Linked DNA regions of Daphnia pulex. The main gene of each other region encodes a partner of the protein of the gene in region 2 in a complex. Links are inferred from orthologs where the notes say so. Each region holds a gene or a part of one and is shown on either strand. Other genes may lie near its edges.

Region 1 (3,547 bases), about 2.9 Mb from region 2:
GATTTTTCCGTTTTCCTCGAGGGGTGTGGACCCCTATTGATTCGCGTATGGCTGCGTATTACTCACAGAGACGCCGGTTACAAAGTGGGGAGAAACAATTTGAATTTTGACGCAACAACGACTATGACACGCTTCTACGAACACAAAAAGACAAACTAGATGCAATGGCACACGTTTTCTATCGATTAAATTAAACTAAAAACGAGCAATGTTTAAAAAATGTAAAGAAATAAAATTCGGCCTTTACCGGAGAAAGCAAAGTTACACCAAAGCCGGCACCGCAAGCAATAACGTGGCGATGAGACGCTTGCCTTCCCTTTATGCCCTTCTCTGTCCCTTCCTCTTCCTTCTCCTTTTTAGATCTTGCAACGTTGTCGCTACGGCGTGGGGAGCTTCGAGAAATTAAGGCCGAAACGCTGCAACTGACGCCACCCCAACTTTCGATCTAAAAGCGCCACCTAACATGAAATCGCAAATTTTTAAAATAACAGTCAACTTGATATTTTATATGGTAACTATTCAAGCTAGATCGCTTTGAATGAATTAATAGATAATTTGAGGCTGATTTCATAGTCAACAGTCACCTAAAGCTAATTAAACATTGGGTTGCTGTAGCCGACACTAGGGGCGCTGGCGTACAACCACGGCGATCGATACGATCGCATCATTTGGGTTAACCTAGGGCCGAAGTCTGGTATTTGTGAATTCTGCTTGGAATTTACGTTGCCCCGTTCGTTCGTTCTTGCTTTTCCGTTGCCTTATATGGTCATGAATTTGTCGCTGAAAAAGAGGATGGGAAGTCCCACTCCCACCTTTAGGGATAAACCCCACCCGACCGCTTTTTCTACACTCCCTTCTATCAACAAGCCTACACGTGTCCTTATAAACGCAACACATTTTGACATCTATAGATACCTTTTGTTTTTACCATATCCTGCTCCAAATATGAAACTATCGTTGAAGAGATTGTAGGCAAACCAAAATTCCTTTCCTGTTAAGATTAGAGCGTTTGCATCATACTGTTGTAACAGAAAATTAACGTCGAGTTTGAGATCATCAATTGCGTGTTATAAATATAACGGCTTCAATTCAGACGACTAGAGACGCCTTACAGATGACAGCTGGCTTAAGCTTAACGGAATAAACAATTTCAATGCGTTATGCGTTGGCGACTTTTGAAGGTACATGCGAAAAAGCTAGAAAGACAAAACAAAATTCAGTTCATTCTAGCACAAATCATTTAGCTGACACAGTTAGACCCTGAGATTTTCTCCTAAATTTCTCCTCATTTTTCCCAAGAATTCCTGTTCCAAACAATTAAGCTCGGTCGTCTAGTCCAAAAGTTCCCAATTGTTGTACCGTTCCACAATAAATTGGATTGCATCATTCAAGAAACATCAAGATAAGCATTTCAGTGCTGCACCTTCATTCAAGTATTCAACCGGCTCCGTCGGAAAATGACGACGCAAAATGTCACATGGTTTATATACGAGTTGAGCCTCTGGTCCACAGGTGGCGTTCAAATCGCGTGACTTCAGACGAAAATACTTTTAACGCTTTTAGCCGTCAGCTCTGCACGTGAGAATATCATAGTTTTCGCCGGTATTCCGGTTTTTTCCTTTAATTTTCTTGAATATTCATTGCGAATATTAAATTTGTGCCATAAACGAAAAATGTCTTACTGCAAAGAAGAAGGTAAGTTACAAAGTTTGTTATTTATTCTCTCTGGTAATTCAGATAACCGAATGACTAATCGCACCATTCACTAAAGTAACGACATTTGTAAGTAGATGTATAGATACAAAAGTTCTTGTTGATTAGATTTTTTAAAATCTTGATAGAGTTTTGGAAATTGTACTTATTAAGCAAAGAAACTGGAGAATCAAAACTCAGATTGATTAAATCAGTGCCCCACTTCGATCCAATCCTAACTGTTCTCAGCTTAAAAACTATGAACTATACATATTTTGAACAAGCCTGAATCTCATTGAATTTAAGAATGCTTCCTTTGAAAAATGCTTGTTTGTTTGCTGATCTTTATTGGATTTCTCACTAAAAATATGCACACTAGACAATGTTTCAAACGGTGAAAAATTGTTATGTAATCTCCATCAATGAAACCAACATTTTTTGTAAAGCTTAAAAATCATCTGACACTTTCTCCAAGTAAACACAGCTTAAATGTAGCAGCTCTCATTTGAGCCCCAATTTCTACTGTGTTGAAGTAGTGGCTGAGGCATTATCCACTCCTTCTATATCTGGCATAAAATTTTCTGCACTACAGTCCCTGGTGTCTGATTTGCTGTACTTTGATAGTCTCTCTCTGTCATGAACTTGTGGTTTTTCACTTATACCTTAAATGTCATTAGCATTAAACATTTTTTTAATTATTCTGCAGGAAAAGACAAAATTGTCTTTCTAACTCCCGAGGATTTGCAGAAACCTAGCACACTCACCTTCCCCGATGAAGATGAGCCAGCAGGTCTTATGCTGCCAAATGGTGATATTAACTGGGACTGCCCGTGTTTAGGAGGAATGGCCACTGGTCCGTGTGGAGTTGATTTCCGAGAAGCATTCAGTTGCTTCCATTATAGGTGATAACACATTTTCAGTTTGCTTTTTTATTTGCCTACTAAATGATGTATTTCGTTTTTATAGCGATGCTGAACCCAAGGGCAGTGACTGCTTTGAATCCTTTAAGGCGATGCAAGAATGCATGTCCAATTATCCTACATTATATGGGAACGATGATAAGCCATCAGGAGAGGAGGACGAAGAAAACGAAGTGCCCAAAGAAGAGAGCAAAGAACCCTCAAAAGAAGATTCAAAATCTGAAGCTCAAGCAAAAACATGATGTCCATTATAGGAATTTAGAGCTACAAATTGTGTTTTAATTTGCTGCATCTCATGTAATAGCATTCTATACATAGTCATTTCTTCGTCGTCTACAGAGTTCCTTGGGTAGAAGGATAGAAAAAACGCTTCTCTGTTGCAAAAAAAAAATTAAAACTCGGTTTGAGAACAAATGCGCTTAAACATTTAACTTTGTATTTAAACTCAAAATTTTTAGAAATATTTCGACCCTAAAGGTGCTGTGAAGGAGACAAGATGCCGATCAGCAATGGCGTGAAGAAGCATTAAAGGCCACTAATTAAGTAGCGAATGTGAACTCAAATTTCTCCGTTTCCCATTAGGTAGAAATAATTTGTAATTCACCTTAATTCAGTAATCTTCCTCAAACAGCTCGAATGATGCAACAAGCCAAACGACGGCCAGTATTGCCATTGGCTAGACTCTCTGTATCACGATTTTGTCCCAAATCATCCTCCTTCTCTTTGATCTAGATTTTTTTTAGGTAACAACAGATTTAAGTTTTTATTCAAATTATACGCCATTTTAGGTTTCAGTTACCACAAGGGTTCGGTGTAGAATGGAATTAGGTCCAGTCATCAGCGTCGCGAGAGAATCGGTAAACATCGCGTTAATACCTTGGTTTTCAATAGCTTCCACGTTCCCGAAATCTCCAACGTGCCTAAAGCGGAAAATG
Region 2 (4,408 bases):
ATTAAGTTATAATCACAAGTATTACAAAAATATGAAATGAAAAATGTTCCAAGAATTCTTACCACCCAGACGTTTGATCGTGCTTCAAGCTCGGCATTGACTCGATAACCACCAAAATTGGAATCTATTTCCAAACCAGAAGCGACGGCCAAATCCGTGTTTGCGTCCAAACCAACAGCAACGACAACATGGTCAGTTTTAATCTGATGAAATAATTGTTAGATTTTAGTTGACATCGCTAAGACATGTATTAAAATAAATGTTTACCTTTTGACCATCGTTTAAGGTCAATACGACCTTGTTGTCTTCCAAGCTTGCACCCTCAACAATAGCTTTGGGCATAACCTGAACACCTTCCGCTTTCACCTTCTCGGTTGTCCATTGGCTCAAATATTTAGGGAGGACTCGGCCCATGTTACCGTCCTCAGGGAAAACTTGAAGCACCTCCAATCCATTACTTTTGGCTAAATGAAAGATATGTTTCCATTATGCAATTTGCCAACAACTTGAATGGATTCAAAACAAGGTTAATACTCAGATACTATCTAGCAGGAAGACAATCATAGTCGTTCAACATTCCATAATTTATAATCACAGTGACTAAAATGATTTTATGAATGGTTCAATTATTTACCTCTTCTGCCAAGAGCACAGGCAAGTTCACTGCCAAGGAATCCACCACCGATAATGGTGATGGACTTGACCTGGCGGGAGATGGAGTCGAGTCGCTGGAAGTCATCGATGTTGCGGAACAAGGTTAAGTGTTCCTGGACATCTTTAGGGGCACTGCTCAGGGATGGCAAAGATTTCGGTTTACCACCTAGCAATAAAACAACGGCCATTTTTAGAGTGATTCGTAAAAACACAAATAAATTGCTGAAATTTAAAAAGGCTCTCAGATACTATCTAGCAGGATAATTATCAAAATTGTTCAACATTCCATAAGGGTGTAATCATTGAGACTTTTAAAGACGAATTTCGTTTAGCATAAAATGTTTACCTGTGGCAATAAGGCACTTGTCGTATGTGATGGTACGACCATCGTCAAGTTCGGCTTTCCGACCAACAATGTCAAGTTTAACGACGCGGTGTCCACGTACAACTGCAACGCCGCCATTATCTTTGCTGTTCAATTCGACGGGATTGCAATAGAATTCGTCTTGTTCGAAAAAGAGACTGGGAAGGAAAATAAGTCATTAGTACATGTTCCACATAGTTGTAATTAACATTGGGCTCACCTTCGCTCTTTGCCGTTCCACTGTTTAAATCGAAGTTTATTTGAAACTTCGGGGTCTTCACTGAACCACAATTCTTTCGACAGAGGTGGTCTCATGTAGGGCAAGTGATTTTCTTCACCGATGACTAAAACCTGTAATGGGTACAACACAAATATTTTTACTATGCATGTAAACAAAACCAATAAAAATTTTTTTTACCTTTGCTTTCGGGTCACGTGATTTGATGGCACGGAAAGCGGCAAACGATGAAGTACCAGCTCCAATCAATAGATAAGGAACGTGCACGGGAAAATCACCGGCGACTGCAACGGCTGCTGCTGCAGCTGGAACTACTGTTAAAAAAAAAGGAAAAAAATAAAATTAAGAACTTTTCTACATTAAGAAAATTTTTCTACAGCTAAAAGAAGGGATTTCTTGATCAAACACTCAGCTTCCCTCGAAATTGTATTGCTTCTAATCGGCCAACGTACAATAAGTCTTCCACCAACCATTCATTTCATCAAATATTTCACAACCTACACTTTGAATCGAAATTTAGCCAGTGTTGCGGCAAATTACAAACAATAAACTCTGAAGGTTAAAATAAATTTTTGGGCACTGGGCTAAAATTGGCGATATTCCAAAATAAGACTATTTTGTTAATGGACTGAATAGATGTGGCAGTTTTGATACAATTCATCTATTCTAGCGAATGAGTCTAAATTAATAACTAACTTATGATTGTGATTCTGTGACTGATGAAGAACCATCAGAAACAGTTTCAGCAACAACTTCTACAGTCAAGGCAACACTCACTGTAGGATCAGATTGAACTTCACCTTCTGATTGATCAGAGGGCCCTGATTCATTTCCACTAGGAGCTGGGACAGCTTCTACACTTTCAGGTACAGATGCTGGAGCAACTTCTTCAACGATGACGGAAGCAACTTCAGCCACAGGGACAGCCTCTTCTACAACTGCAACTGGAACAACCTCTTCTACAATTGCAACTGGAGCAGCTTCTTCCACAACTGCAACTGGAGCAGCTTCTTCCACAACTGCAACTGGAACAACCTCTTCAACAATTTCCACTGAAGCAACAACTTCTGGTTCAGAAATAGGCTCTTCTACAATTGTAGCAGCGGCTGCTGCAGCTTCTGCTGCCTGCTTGCGAACCTGTTCGTGACTCAATACATTGACTTTGGTATTCAATTCGGGGCCAAGGTTAAGGTAGAATGAACCTGTTTGGTATCCCTGTGTGTGTAGAAAATGCTGTTAGCGATGCTGTAACATTTTACATAAATATTTAATTTACCACAAAAACTGTGAAAGCCGTGAAACCCAAACCTGCAGCCAAGTGCATGTTGTACTTTGCTTGTACTCGGGAATGTTCTGAAGCCCAAGAACCCTTAGGTGTAGGCATTTCGTTCAACGTGGCCGGTTTAATTGCTGGCGGGTTGTAGCCATGATCTGAGCCGAATCTCTTAGTTGTACTTTCGCCTAATTAATACACATCGTATCAGTTCCTAAACTTACAGACACGTTGCTATAGTTTCTTGAAACTGGCAATTCATATAAACTACACATAAATGAATGAAATTATATCTTACCGACAAATCGTTGTCTGCCATGACCAAGATTTGACTTAATGGTGGTTGAGCATTGAGAAACCAATTGCCGGCATCTGTACATTTTCGAGCCGATTTGTAAACGAAAATTTCGAGATTGAGACCGGTCACGTCCTCGAAAATGGCCAAGATGGAGAAAAAGGAGGAGGAGAAAGGACTCTGGAGCACGTGATCAGAGAACGTTGCCAATTTCGAAACACACTTCTTTTGTGATAAATAATGAATAAGAATATGAAAAAGAGCGATAATTTAATGATTAAAAATTTTTTAAAATGTTAACCAGATAGAAAAAAAGTTTTTCTCATTATTTGCTTTAAAGAAAGAACAAGCTTTACGCCACCTGTGGCGATTATTTGCACTATGATTCAAACAAATATTTCTGAATTCGTTAAGTTTAAAAAAGGATTACTACTTTACTAGGCTATTTTAACTTTTGCCAATTAATTGTTTTCTGTTGCAAATGTCATTCGTCCCTCAGGCTACGCAACGAGAGCATTCGTTTGTGGTTTAATGGATAGTCGCCCAATAATGTTCAAAGAAAATAAACGTCCCCTTCCAAGACCAGGAAATTTAAATATCCTTTTGGCTAAATGATCTTGAAACTTAATAAGTTGTTGCCGGCCATTGTCGTCAAATTTGTTTAGCTCCGTTTCTCCCTGTCGCACGCAAATAATGAACGACGCACTTTTTTCTTCCTTCCCGATAGATCTTTGGTCCTTTAATACGGGTTTTACCTCGCATCCTTTTGAAATCTGTTGTTTATTTATACAGGCAAGAAATGTCTCTATACAGCGACCGCAGTGAACCCTACATTCAAAGTCAAGGTAACTGTACGCTATATAAAGAGCGGGATAAAGGAATTATTTACGGCGAATTTCCTTATTCATTTTTCTAACAAGAAAAATCACCACGCACTGATGAACAAACTTAGCATTTTAAACCTAGAAATGTCCAGTCAGGTGCGTACATATTTTAAATATTTGTTGCACTCCTGCGTGTGCTGTTTAGCTCAATTCTTCTTCTACTTAACATGCAGCACTCCTGTCTAGCAGCGTTATTAATGTACCTTTTTTTATTCGGTTTGATTTCTATGGCGAACAAAATAGAAATATTAGTCATCTGCCTGTGGAAAACTCACCTCGCTGGCTTTGTGTCCGTTTGAACGTCATTTTTTGTGACGACTTAATCATTCGTCACAAATTGCGACTCACAATTTTTCAAAGGTACAGGGTCGCTAATAACAGGTTTTGTCGGCGGTTCTAAAAGATCAGTGGTCTGTGGGATTGCCTTTTTAGGGTAATCAAATTTGGTGCGTACCTTCGTCACGGTCATGCGACTCAAACCGGAACAATTACTCTTGAATGATGGCACCAACCCATCACCATGATTACACAGCAGTAAATTTAAGCTGACCAATAATGGTGTAATAAAAGTCAAACAAATTTAATTTGACGCTATTCATTTTCAATACAAAATCTAAATTCATGTCCAGCAGTTTTGCGACATTTTTCAATGTTCCCGCGTGAGTTTGACGTAAACAATTAATATTAAACGGTTTATTCT

Evidence for each region.
Region 1: the proteins of apoptosis-inducing factor 1, mitochondrial-like (region 2) and mitochondrial intermembrane space import and assembly protein 40-B-like are in contact, whole or in part, in a cryo-EM structure (PDB 9GQZ), measured with the Homo sapiens proteins. The link is inferred for Daphnia pulex from reciprocal best matches to the Homo sapiens genes AIFM1 and CHCHD4. Residues at the interface, in NP_004199.1 of Homo sapiens: Pro345, Tyr347, Ser500, Ser501, Leu502, Pro503, Thr504, Val505, Gly506, Val507, Phe508, Ala509, Lys510, Glu558, Asp559, Tyr560, Asn602, Ala605, Lys606, Phe608, Asn609, Ile610, His611; in NP_001091972.1 of Homo sapiens: Arg5, Glu7, Lys9, Asp10, Arg11, Ile12, Ile13, Phe14, Val15, Thr16, Lys17, His20, Thr22, Pro23.

The regions. Positions count from the first base shown.
Region 1 is NC_060023.1:8,613,513-8,617,059, reverse strand, and holds mitochondrial intermembrane space import and assembly protein 40-B-like, read left to right. Parts: upstream 1-1,511; 5' UTR 1,512-1,673; coding exon 1,674-1,695; intron 1,696-2,398; coding exon 2,399-2,594; intron 2,595-2,658; coding exon 2,659-2,854; 3' UTR 2,855-2,939; downstream 2,940-3,547. Other genes in the region: uncharacterized protein LOC124197866, read right to left, coding at 3,236-3,340, 3,412-3,532.
Region 2 is NC_060023.1:11,493,404-11,497,811, reverse strand, and holds the start of apoptosis-inducing factor 1, mitochondrial-like, read right to left. Parts: upstream 3,022-4,408; 5' UTR 2,910-3,021; coding exon 2,828-2,909; intron 2,744-2,827; exon of another isoform or gene 2,718-2,743; coding exon 2,533-2,717; intron 2,472-2,532; coding exon 2,057-2,471; intron 1,571-2,056; coding exon 1,437-1,570; intron 1,370-1,436; coding exon 1,239-1,369; intron 1,177-1,238; coding exon 1,001-1,176; intron 821-1,000; coding exon 635-820; intron 465-634; coding exon 268-464; intron 204-267; coding exon 63-203; intron 1-62. UniProt on the Homo sapiens protein: Functions both as NADH oxidoreductase and as regulator of apoptosis.